Danio rerio: one gene and its partners. The protein of the gene in region 1 purifies or fractionates together with the protein of each later gene. This does not show direct contact. Links are inferred from orthologs where the notes say so. Each region holds a gene or a part of one and is shown on either strand. Other genes may lie near its edges.

Region 1 (4,409 bases):
AGTTCAGTGTGATTTAGGGTGCTTTCACACCTGTGAATCGATTCAGTTGTTCCGAAACAGAGATTAGAATTGTTACATTGTTGCTCTTTGCTCTTGGTGCGGTTCGCTTTCACACTGCAAAGTTTCTAATCGGACCAAAAGAGCTAAAACAAGTCACGTGCGAGTAAACTCTCCTTACATTGGTCAGAGTGTCAGGGTTTATTTTGCAGCGTCCCGCTCAGCTGTCAGGAGAGGTGGTGGTTTGGTGGTGATTGACAGGGTGCGCGCGCGTGACGTGTCTGAGGATAGACGCGGTGGGGAGGGGTGAGAAGGGTGCGCGATGATGCCTATTTGAGGACTGGGAGAGAGACACGAGATTACCGGGAGATCATCACTCGTTTGCGGGCATCCGGAGACTCACGAAACTTCCCGCCTTACTCATAATTCTCTCTTCATATAGCCGTAAGCCTATTACATATCCATAAAACACTGTGATATAACCGCGCTCGGATCAGATCGCTTTCTCACTGCAATCGAACCGCTCCAGGGTTCGTTTCAATCGAGCCGAGACCACCTCATTCAAGCGATCTCGGAGCGATTACTTTGGCGCGGGACAGAGCGCGATTGCCCTGTTCACATATGCCAATCGAACCGCGCTAACTGGGCAAACGAGATACGTTCCGAAACAAAAGTGTAGGTGTGAAAGCACCCTTAATCATTACTGAGAGTTGATGATCAGTGCACTAGGCTATAGGTGCTGACTTCATGTTCATGTTTAATTTGATATCAGACAAATAATGGACCATACTAAGTTATAAAAGAGTGGTCATGCTCACACCTTTTAATGCACGACTTGGAAAACAATAGCTGTACAAATTCCACGCACACAAACACATTAGCTAAAGTCCTCTTGTTCATCATTAGGAGTTGACAAGGCATAATTACCCTGTCAGATTTGTTCAAATCACTCAAACCAAGAGCAAGCTGGCAAAGTACCATTTTACACTTATTTAAGCAATCTCTATATAATGATGGATATAGCATAGTGCATTTGCTCTTTTAAGCATTTATTTAATCTCTGCATGTATACATTGAATTACTACATCTTCCACTACATCATATGCAACTTTTATTGTGCACTAAAAAGCAATTTTAAAAGCTGCAACTAAATTACAGTCAACTGTTGACCAAATAAATATATCCACTGAGTCTGTATTGAACTCAGAAGCTTTAGGCCTCGAAAAACTGTTCCCCACAATTACGATGTTGTGGTTGAGTTCGACTCGTAAATATGATTTTTTGGACAGGACTTGGACGCAGCAGCTCTGTGCGCAGTATAAATGCCGCAGGGATTGAGGGAGTCTTATGCGTTTCCTTAACCAATGAAGAGAAGCTACAACAAAATCCAGAATGAGACCAGCATGTGCTTTTACTGGGTCACAACGTCCTAGACATACTCGCTCAAAGAAAACCAGGTCACACACACACACACACACACACACACACACACACACACACAGGTCAGGTGTGTACTGCAGACGTCTTCTAAGAAAGTGAAACTGGTGTTCATTTCAATAATATTATTTGCTCTATGGCACTGAATAACACACACACACACACACACACACACACACACACACTTATAACACTATTACTAGCAGCAAACAGAATGATGACAAAGATAAATGCAGTACACACTCACATCAGCATGAATCTGAGAGCTCACATGGATTACACACAGATTTGTGTGGTTATAAGACACACCCGACAAAATCACAACTAAATCTGAGCATAAAGCTAAAGTAGCTGCCAATCACTCACTTCAGAGATTCATCAACATCCTGTTCATAACAATCAAGAACCAATAAAGCATTAGAGGGTTTCTGAAATGAAATATGCTAATTGCTGGACACATATTCAGAAAGCAGCCAACAACACGTATATCAAAATACACAGAAATGCAACAAGGCCACACACCAGAAGGACGAGCTCGCGCAGCGCGCCCCCGCGAATGACCGTGTGCACTCTTCCTTTCAAATATTAACCAAGTTTCTTGCACACAAATGAAATTTGTCCGGTTGAAGAAAGCGCGCACCAATGTCTGCGGGAGCACGCAGCGCGATCACACCCTCATCGAACTTTGGGAGCGCGCGTAACCTATTTCCATCTGTCTGTAACTAACTAGAACTCTCTAGAAGAGTCAGAAACTACGTTTATTTGCGTCCAAGTTTACTTTCCTGCTGTGTTAACAAACCGCTAATACAGATTCGTCCTTAAAATCGGGCGGATAACTGAAAACGCGCCGCTTGGCCCAGTTTTAACGCGAGCGATGACGTAATGAGCGCCCGTGAAACGTCACTCGCTAGCGCTCAATGACATCATGCTCCGTTTGCAGTCGCACTGCACCCTACTTTCGCGCAAACAGCATTTTCTGTGAAAATTAACGGGTTTCCGCGTGCCCGTTGAGGCCCGCGCGAGCCGGTGTTTCTGCGCTCGAGCACTTCCTGAAACTCACCGCGCGGCTGTCCGTGCCGATCGGACGCGTCACAGGTTATCTTCGCAAGAAATATCGATCAACCGTAACGATTTCACCACAACAAGTTTGCAAGTGCAGCAAAACCAGGCCGCGTCACTCCAGGTCGCTGCTCACACTAGCTGCGCTTCCTGTTTCTCCGCGCGGCGACTGAATGGATCTGCGGAGGAAACGGAACCGTCCACCCGGTGCTTTACCTGCTAATCAGATGCAGACGCTCGGAGTTCGGGGGATGGTTGTCAGAAACTCCAGAGGCTCAGTGTGGATCCGTGTCGCGTGCTCCAGACTTCCCTTTTCAATCCACTGAAGCTGCGCACAAGTTGGCTCTCTTCACTCGGCTCTCTTTTTTTCTTCCTTTCTTTCTCTTCCCTCCCTCTTCCACTCGTAGTTGAACTCCGTCCTGCTGTAATGGTTCGGGGTGCGGTCCCGGTGGGGCGGAGTCTGCGGCACGTAACCGCCCCTTTCCTGAATCTCCGCCAATCACAGTCCGCTCGCTCTGCATTCCCGAAGGCTTCGGCCAATGACAGGCGGCGTGTGGGCGTGCCAGAGCGGGTAAAAGTCCGCGTCACAGGGTGAACTTGAAATAGTTGGGCCGCAGGGCCCCGTATGTGTGCTTAATGTCTGAGGTATGTGCGCGACTTTGGGCTTTTGTGACCATATAAGTCGCCGGACCGTGTTTACACGCACACACACACGCGCAGGAATGGAGGAATGTCTGGAATCAGGAACTTTCTCTCCTTCTTTTAAATAAATAAATACATAATGGGTGTCAGTGTTGACAGGCATTTCACAATTTACAGAGTTTATTGGATCATTTCAATATTTATGTACGGATAGTTTATTTTAGCCTACTATTATTACACGATATTTCAATATTGTCCCGTCACAGATAATATCAATCTCTATCTGTGCGTCTATCTCATTGATTTGCATATCATTTGACTGAAAATCATACAATGCTTGATGCAGCTTTTGAATAATAACAGGCATGTGTATTAAACCATTGATTTTAAAGGACTGATTGATGATATTGCTGCTTTCTCAGCTAGCTATGAACTTCAGAAACACATTGACACTTAGTCAATTCAACGCATGAAAAATCAAACTAAAATCAGGCAAATCTGAACGAATAACACATCTCAGCACACATAAAAATAAATGTTTATTGAAATCTTTATCCTTTAAAAATCTATAATTATGTATAGTAGTGTTTTTGAACTATAGTAGGGTACTTTAATTAATCTGCTGTGTACGTCTTCTAATACAGCAACTAGCAATATAAACAAATTACATAATACTATGTATACTAGGCGACATACATAATGTAAATTAAAATAATTTATTTTATATTTTATTATTTTGTATTTGATTTTTATTTTATTTTATAATTTTTATTTTATTATTATTATTATTTTATTTTTAGCATTATATTCTTGTTCCTGAAACTCTTTAGTTTCAGTAAAACATAATTTTGTTTATATTTTGAACTGAAAACGCTATTATTTTATATTATATTAATATATTATATAACTGAAAACATATTTTTATATTACTTTATTTTTATTTTATTTTAATATTTTATTTTTAATTATTTTATTTTGTTATTATTAATGTATTTTATTTTTTATTATCATAAGTTTATTTTATATTTTATTATTTTTATTTTATTACTATTTTATTTAGGCGACACAGTGGCGCAGTAGGTAGTGCTGTCGCCTCACAGCAAGAAGGTTGCTGGTTCGAGCCTCGGCTGGGTCAGTTGCCGTTTTTGAGTGGAGTTTGTATGTTCTAGTTTCCCCCACAGTTCAAACACATGTGGTACAGGTGAATTAGGTAAGATAAATTGTCCGTAGTGTATGTGAATGAGAGAGTATGAATGTTTCACAGTGTTGGGTTG
Region 2 (4,436 bases), on another chromosome or scaffold:
GAAACTGATTAAATCCCTCTCCTCACCTTCTTCTTTATATATTTAGGAACGAGACCAGAGTTTTCAAGCGGTTGCTTGTCTCCCTTTTTTGTATCAGTGTACGCCGGCTGTGGTTTCTTCGGGACTGCCATGATATTCTCAACGGCATTGGTCTTAATGAAGTTCTTGTTGGTATGAAGACCCATGAGCGGCTTGTCAGTTCTAGCAGGTACTGGTGGTTTATAATGCAGCTCATCATCTTCATATTTAAATGGTTTCTCTGAAACAGCAAAAATTAATGATCAGACAAATCTTTAGTGATTTATACAAAAACATTGGCATTTATTATTGTATGAAAAGATATGTATGTTATGTAATAAAAGTGTAGTTTATCCAAAGATGAAAATGTTGTCATTATTTACTCCTCCTTAACTTCCAAACCTGTTTGAGTTTCTTTCTTCTGTTAAATACAAAGGAAGATATACTAAAGACTACAACAACAACAACAACAAAAAGGTCATTTACTTCAATAGTAATTTTGTTCCTGCTATGGATATCAATGACACAACAGAAGAAAGATATTCATACAAGTTTCGAACCACTCAAGTGTGATGAGGAAATTTTTATTTTTGGGTGAACCAAGTAAATTTAATAAATAAATAAAAAAAATATATATATATTAGATATTTCACATACTTTCAGGGAGTTTGGGTTCCTTCGAGTGTTTTAGTAGATATTTCTGTGGCAATGGGACGTCCACTTTAGCTGGTCCCATAGATTTATTAGGGGCTTTGTTTGACTGTTTCTCCAGTTTCACCTGCTCTCTGAACTTTGACATGTACCTGAAAAAAGAAGATGCTACTGAATGAATGTCACAGAAAACACGTGCTTCATTCAAATCAAATACACTCACCGGCCACTTTATTAGGTACACCTGTCCAACTGCTCGTTGATGCAAATATTTAATCAGCCAATCACATGGCAGCAACTCAAAGCATTTAGGCATGTAGACATGGTCAAGACGATCTGCTGCAGTTCAAACCGAGCATCAGAATGGGGAAGAAAGGTGATTTAAGTGACTTTGAACGTGGCGTGGTTGTTGGTGCAGTCAGCTAAGAACAGGAATCTGAGGCTACACTTCATGCAGGCTCACCAAAATTGAACAATAAGAGATTGGAAAAATATTGCCTGGTCTGATGAGTCTCTATTTCTGCTGCAACATTCGAATGGTAGGGTCAGAATTTGGCATCAACAAGATGAAAGCATAAATCCATCCTGCCTTAATTCAACGGTTCAGGCTGCTGGTGGTGGTGTAATGGTGTGGGGGATATTTTCTTGGCACATTTTGGGCCCATTATTACCAGTTGATCGTCATGTTAACGCCACAGCTTATCTGAGTATGTTACTGACCATGTCCATCCCTTTATGACCACATTGTACCCATCTTCTGATGGCTACATAATGTGCCATGTCATAAAGCTTGAATCATCTCAGACTGGTTTCTTGAACATGACAATGAGTTCACTGTACTCAAACGGCCTCCACAGTCACCAGATCTCAATCCAATAGAGCACCTGGGAGGAATGGGAGATTCACGTCATGGATGTGCAGCCGACAAATCTGCAGCAACTGCGTGATGCTATCATGTAGCATGGACCAAAATCTCTGAGGAATATTTCCAGGCCATTCTGAAAGCAAAAGGGTGTCCAACCCAAAGTGGCAGGTGATTGTAGATAAAATGGGGGGATGAGGGAAATCCCATTTAAAACACATTCTGACAGTACATTTTGCATCAGTTTCTGAACAGAAAGCACATTTACCAATTCTTTCTCTGTACTGCCGACAGCTTTTTGCTTAATTTCGGTAAAGTTGGTTTTATATTCGCAAGTTCAGACTTTCTTGTTAATAATATGATTTCATAAAGGTAGTATTTGCAAATTCCAAATAGAGAAATCATATTAGCAGTCAATGGCTATCAAAGTACAAAAATGTTCACAGTCATATAGATAATGTTGTTTTGAAGTCATAAATTACATGGGATTTGAGGCCGAATATTCAAAGCTCCATGGTAAACAATATATCTGCATGAATGTGCAAATATAAAACCAACTTTACCTCAGTTTTTGCTTTGTTTGTGGGATATAGGTGATGATTCACATACGTTCTCCTAAAACAGAACATATTGAAGTTCAAATTTACTTGAAATTTTTTTAAATATATCTTATATATTATATTTTTAATATAATATACCTTTTTTAAAATAGATTTTTGATATATCATCATATTCACATTTGCTATAGTAACGAAATGAGTAGACAGTGTTATAATGAAACAAACAACTACGTTGTAAAATATAAAACCATGACAAATTATTATTTACTGGGGCAAATATTCGCACATTTGAACTTTCTCGCTAATATAATTTCATTAAAGTATTCTTCGTAGTAGGGGAAATCAAAGTAAAAATAGCAACAAACAACTATTAAAGTAAGCATATTGATCACAGCCATTTAAATATGGCTAACGTTAGTTTTGTTTTGAAGTCAAACAAGTGATTTCACACCTTCAAGTTATCACTATTCATAAATGAACCAATGTGCGACAATAAAACCAATTTTACCTCAATTTATTATTTGAGGCCTTTTATTATTGATAAGTCTGGAACTCAAACGTTACCTGGGGGCTTTCATGGTTTTCTCTTCCTCTCTGGGGATCAGATTATAGATGCTCTCTGCAGGATAAATGGTGTCGCTCATGATGCCCGATGACAGAGACGAGAAATGACAAGAAAGAGAGAAATAGAACTGCGATATGAATGAAGACGTGTTTCTTCGGCGTTGTTTTACAGCTGTCCCTATGACAACTGCTGCCAAGCAATGTTAAACAAACAGCTTCTCTCGTGTTTTATTATTTCCCGCATATTAATTTCGTTATTTTAGCTTATGTTCTTTAAACATATAACTACAACAAACGACATGCTAAGCTAAAGATTTATTTCGTTATTATGATTTAAAGCTGAAGGAACAAGCCGTTTATTAAACCAGTAAACGAGAAATGTCCCTTTGCAGTTGCCGTATTGCCAGGGTTTGTTTACAAAGCAGCCACTGTGAGCGCACGTGAAATCCTGTACTAGACAGATAGACGCCGTTTTAGGTAAACCTTGCTTACTTTGCTAGTTTTAAACGTAATAGTTTCGGCAGTTAATAGTGTAAATCTATGTAATGTGAATTTTGAGAATATTTACAAAGATCCATAATGCACATTTACTAACCAAGAACCCTTTTATCCAGCTATTCTTACGAACAACATTAAGCAAAGTACTTATAAAAGAGCCATCTAACTGTTCTTTTACTTGAAATCTCCAAGATTCTGTAATTCCACAAGCCCCTTACCCTTTTTTAGTACGCATGCTTATACATATTGTATGTTTAATACTCTCAAGACACTAGGTCCAATTGTACAAAAGACAGACCAAACAATAGGCTACAAACCACACAGTATGCACCTCAGCAAGCATAGGGTTGATCAACAACAGTAAAATGCTATTCTGAGAATTCTGACAGATGAAATTTCTCACCAAAGCAAACAATGACCTTACAAAATAATTCACCTGACTACACATCTATGTTTTTAAGAAAAATCCTCATACAATCATTGTATGCAATCTGCAGGTTATGAAAGATCATTTTTTTAATTAATACCATTTAGGATCTGTGTATAAAGAACTGCAATCATTTCTAAAGAGGTTTACCTTAACCTGCTCTGAACACAAGTAAAACTTTCTCACCAGCATATTTGCTTTAATGTATATATATATATATATATATATATATATATATATATATATATATATATATATATATATATATATATATATATATATATACATACATATATATAGACATTGACATTATATATAAGAAATAACCTTCAACGTATTTGTCTCATTTATATTTTGTTTTCTTTGTACCACTGATCCGTTTTTTCTTTTTCTTTGAATTGTATATATATATATTAGATATATTATATATATATATATTAGTACTCTGTCATTTATACAGAGATAGATAGATAGATAGATAGATAGATAGATAGATAGATAGATAGATAGATAGATAGATAGATAGATAGATAGATAGATAGAGAGATAGATTTTTTAATACTTAAACCTACATATTGTGTGACAAATTATTAATCAATTAGTAAGTAAAGTGCATTTATATAGTGCATATATTGTGTATGGCCATACACCTAAAGCGTGTTACAATCATCAGGGATCATCAGATCATTCGTTGATCGCAATAAGAAAATATATAAATAAATAAATAAATAAATTTAAAAAAAAAAAAAAATATATATATATATATATATACCCACACCACCACCAGTCAATCATTATAGTATTTATTTGTTCTTATTGCAATCAATGAATCCATGTTAATCCATATTTTTATTTT
Region 3 (3,654 bases), on another chromosome or scaffold:
TACCTGCCTATTATTAAGATATTCACTGTTTATTAGCACTTATAAAGTAAAATCACATTTTACATCCCTCATCCTACCCATGACCTAAACCCAATTATAACCTTACTTACTATTGAGGGGTCACGAAACACCAACACATTTTTTGAGTTGTTGACAGTCATATGTGTGTCCCACACTGCTATAAACACTATTAGGACATACATTTCACAAAACAGTGAAAATTGGTTAGTTTTGCGTTATTTCAAGCAAATTCGTTCTTTCGGTTTAAAACTATATTTTGAAGCTGCGTCACGGCGATTATATTCTTGCGTGTATTCCCGCGTGTAAAATGGCTGTCTGTACTGGTGAGTACAACGTGACGTCTTTGAGGTTTCAGCATTTATTCATGAAAAAGACTTGGTTCAAACCAATCAGCGCGCTCTATTGTGAATGAGGTGCAACTTCATTAATGTGCATGATAGCTTCGAAGACTGTTTTTACTTGTTACAGTGTTCAGACGGCCAAATTAAGTGGAAAAACAAGAATTGTTTGGAGATAGGGGTCATCAGTGTTGCTTTTATAATTTGCTGCAATGAAGGTTTGTTTTCATTTTCCCGCTATGAGAGTGCAGCTGGACTCACGTGTGGATTACAGTGCACGTGACACGCAGCAGAAATGCGTTTGTAAGGAACATTTTTACCAGAGAGCTTTTCACATCTGAAAATGGTGAAATCCGGATTTGCCGCTCGACTCCTTTAAAAAAAAAAGACTTGTTTCCAGTTTGTGTTGATTGAAATGTCTCTACAGATTTGGTAAGTTAGCGATCAGTGTTCTTTGTTTATGTTTATTCAAAGGTAAAGTTAGTTCGTATCGTCAGCAGTACCCTTTTAGTTTTTAAAGACAGACCTTAGTCAAAATGATTTATTTACTAAGTTTACAGTATGTTAATATCACTACAATGTTATGGACTTAAAGATCCAGTGCAAATGCTGCTCTCCGAGTGTAAACCATACCCATCAACCCTCCCGTTTTTCCCAGGAATCTCCCGTATTTTACAGTTCTATCCCGCTAGCATCCCGTATTTTTTCACATATTTTCAGTGTTTCTCTGAAGGGTGGCAAGAAACATTAAAGAGCCGAGCATCCCTATATGTAACCCATACCGCCGGACCACAAGGGGCCGCCCCTTGCTCTTAAATATGATTCTGTTCCGTGCTTTCACTTTGTTTAGGCACTAAAAAACTTTGAAATAAACATAAAAATGGCGCGATTGCCCTTCCTTTTCATTACAGGTGCCGTCACCCCTCCTATGCAATCCTCAAAACATTCATATAATGATGCATGACTTTCAGCTGACGCGCTCTATAGTGATAAACAGACGCTGTTTCCCAAAAGGATTTTGTACACGCAATTTGAAGTGGAGCGAAAATCTGGATTTTGGGTGCGTGTTTAAACAGACATATACACATAATTAATAATAATAATAATAATATCTAAAGATGTCGATCTTGGAGTTTATTTTTAAAAACCCAACTAATTTTATCTTAAATGAGCATAAAAAGTTAGGAAAGCAGTCAAATACCTTCATTAAATTGTTAGATGTGTGCATTTTTAAAGTGACACCTGTTATTTAATGTAATCAAACAAAAAAAAACGAGCATAAAAGATTCATTCGTTGCTCTTTAATCAGAATATGTAAGTTATACAGGGAAGAAACGGCTAATGAGATTTGATAGCTTGATTCTATTTCATTATAACAGGTATTCATTTTAATAAGCTGAACTGTTAGCTAATGTTTTTGCTGCTAATGTACATATTTATTTTTTCTTTTGTGAATAATAATAATAAAACATATTACTGACCATTAAACGGTTTATTTACAATGAAACAGCTCTAAATGAACATATTTAGTAATTAAAAATTTGGATTTTTAAAGGGGGGAGGATCCTTTATTATGGTGGGTATATCCCTTATATTCACTTCCCAATGCTGACAGGTATGGTGTAAACTTAATCAACCTTAATCAAACTATTACGGTCATGTATAATTTGTTGCATTTAGTGTCAGGATAGTCTATATACACACGGCTTTCTGATAAAATATTTTTCGAAAAACAAACATGACATGCACTTTAAGAAAAAAAAAGGTATATAAAGGGATAGTTCGCCCAAATCTGAAAATTCTGTTATCATTTTCTCACCCTTCAACCTGTTCAAGTTTCTTTCTTCTGCTGAACACAAAAGAAGTTATTTAGATTTTTTGTGGGAAACCTGTAACCATTGACTTCCACAGTATTAGTATCTTCAACTATGAAAGTTACTGGTTACTAACATTCTTCAAAATATCTTCTTTTGTGTTCGACAGAGTGAAGAAACTTATCAAGGTTTAGAACAACTTGAAGGTGAGTAAATGGTAAATATATTTTATTTTCGGCTGAACTTTCCCTTTAATGGCCTATTTTTCACCTGTATTAAACTGTTGTAAGCAACATTTTGTCTTTGACAAGGAAAAATGAGGATTCTATTACATGTATGGTGATATCTTTTATGCCAGTTTTCCAATCATTTAGATGCCAATGTTCTGGAGTTTGGAGTTTATTTAGAATAAGTTTCAATTCCTCTGGTTGAGGTGCACCAAACCTGCCAAGCGTGAACACAACTTAAAAATGAATCATAAAATAAATCACTGTTGATCTTACCGCAATGGGAACTCCACAATTGTGTCCAGTTTTTCTCGAGAGTATTTGGTGTAGGAGAATCGCTTTAAATGGATGATAAGAACCTCCGGCAAAGACCAGAGATCCAATTTCTTAGTGGCGAGCTGATGTCTTTTACATGTGGGACAATACCTGCATACCACAGAAAAGAAAAGTTACATGCGCAGAAGATTTAGTACATCACTAGAAATGATCAAAGTCTGGAATTTGTGATTACCAAGGGTTTTCCTCCTCCAGTGTCTCTACGGTGGTAAAGAGCTCTATACATTCCTGCAGCTGAACTGTTGTTTGCTGGTGAGGTACATCCATGCTTTGATGCTTTATATATTTCTGCAGAAATAAAGAAACAACACATGTTTGCAATAGAAAAGATACAGTTTGCACAGCTTGGACAGACAAGACAGAACATAGTCAATGAAGAATGGATTTTGATTTTAGTTTAATACTGGTTTAAAGAAAAGTTTGCGTATCATAAAAATTTAGACATCCACACAAGAACATTTTAGATATATTGTTTTTATATTTAACTTCTGCTTAAATGTTTTCTTTAATTTCTCTGATATTTTTAATTTTTGTCTCATTTGTAGGGCCAGACTGAATCTGTGGACATTTTTTGCTATTTCTGCAGAGAATTTTGGTAAAAGTCTGCAGATTTCTGCTGAATTATTTTGGGAGTATCATAACTAATACCTTAATATATGAAATAAAAAATAATATCTTTTGAACTTTTACTTAATGTTTAAAATGCAAATCCAATTAGATTCACTTTATTTGGTAAATAAAGCAAGTTTGTCATATAGATTCCGGGTGGGCCTAGTCATTTGCAATGCTTCAACTAATTTGAAGTCCTTTCCGTCATTGAGTTACAGGCTCGTATACCTTTATCTGCTTGTCTGATTTTCATATACTGTGCTATAAAAGTCTATAATGTTATGCTTCTTGTCATTTGGTTTATATGGC

Evidence for each region.
Region 2: the proteins of myh9b (region 1) and enkur purify together in Homo sapiens (affinity purification with western blotting; 4 studies listed by BioGRID, with this or other methods). This does not show direct contact. The link is inferred for Danio rerio from reciprocal best matches to the Homo sapiens genes MYH9 and ENKUR.
Region 3: the proteins of myh9b (region 1) and usp11 purify together in Homo sapiens (affinity purification with mass spectrometry; 3 studies listed by BioGRID, with this or other methods). This does not show direct contact. The link is inferred for Danio rerio from reciprocal best matches to the Homo sapiens genes MYH9 and USP11.

The regions. Positions count from the first base shown.
Region 1 is NC_133178.1:3,460,223-3,464,631, forward strand, and holds the start of myh9b (myosin-9), read right to left. Parts: upstream 2,897-4,409; 5' UTR 2,495-2,896; exon of another isoform or gene 677-2,494; intron 7-676; exon of another isoform or gene 1-6. UniProt on the Homo sapiens protein: Cellular myosin that appears to play a role in cytokinesis, cell shape, and specialized functions such as secretion and capping. Required for cortical actin clearance prior to oocyte exocytosis. Promotes cell motility in conjunction with S100A4.
Region 2 is NC_133199.1:6,883,154-6,887,589, forward strand, and holds the start of enkur (enkurin), read right to left. Parts: upstream 2,929-4,436; 5' UTR 2,736-2,928; coding exon 2,656-2,735; intron 822-2,655; coding exon 676-821; intron 260-675; coding exon 27-259; intron 1-26. UniProt on the Homo sapiens protein: Adapter that functions to localize a calcium-sensitive signal transduction machinery in sperm to a calcium-permeable ion channel.
Region 3 is NC_133183.1:10,229,979-10,233,632, reverse strand, and holds part of usp11 (ubiquitin carboxyl-terminal hydrolase 11), read right to left. Parts: intron 3,025-3,654; coding exon 2,912-3,024; intron 2,827-2,911; coding exon 2,677-2,826; intron 1-2,676.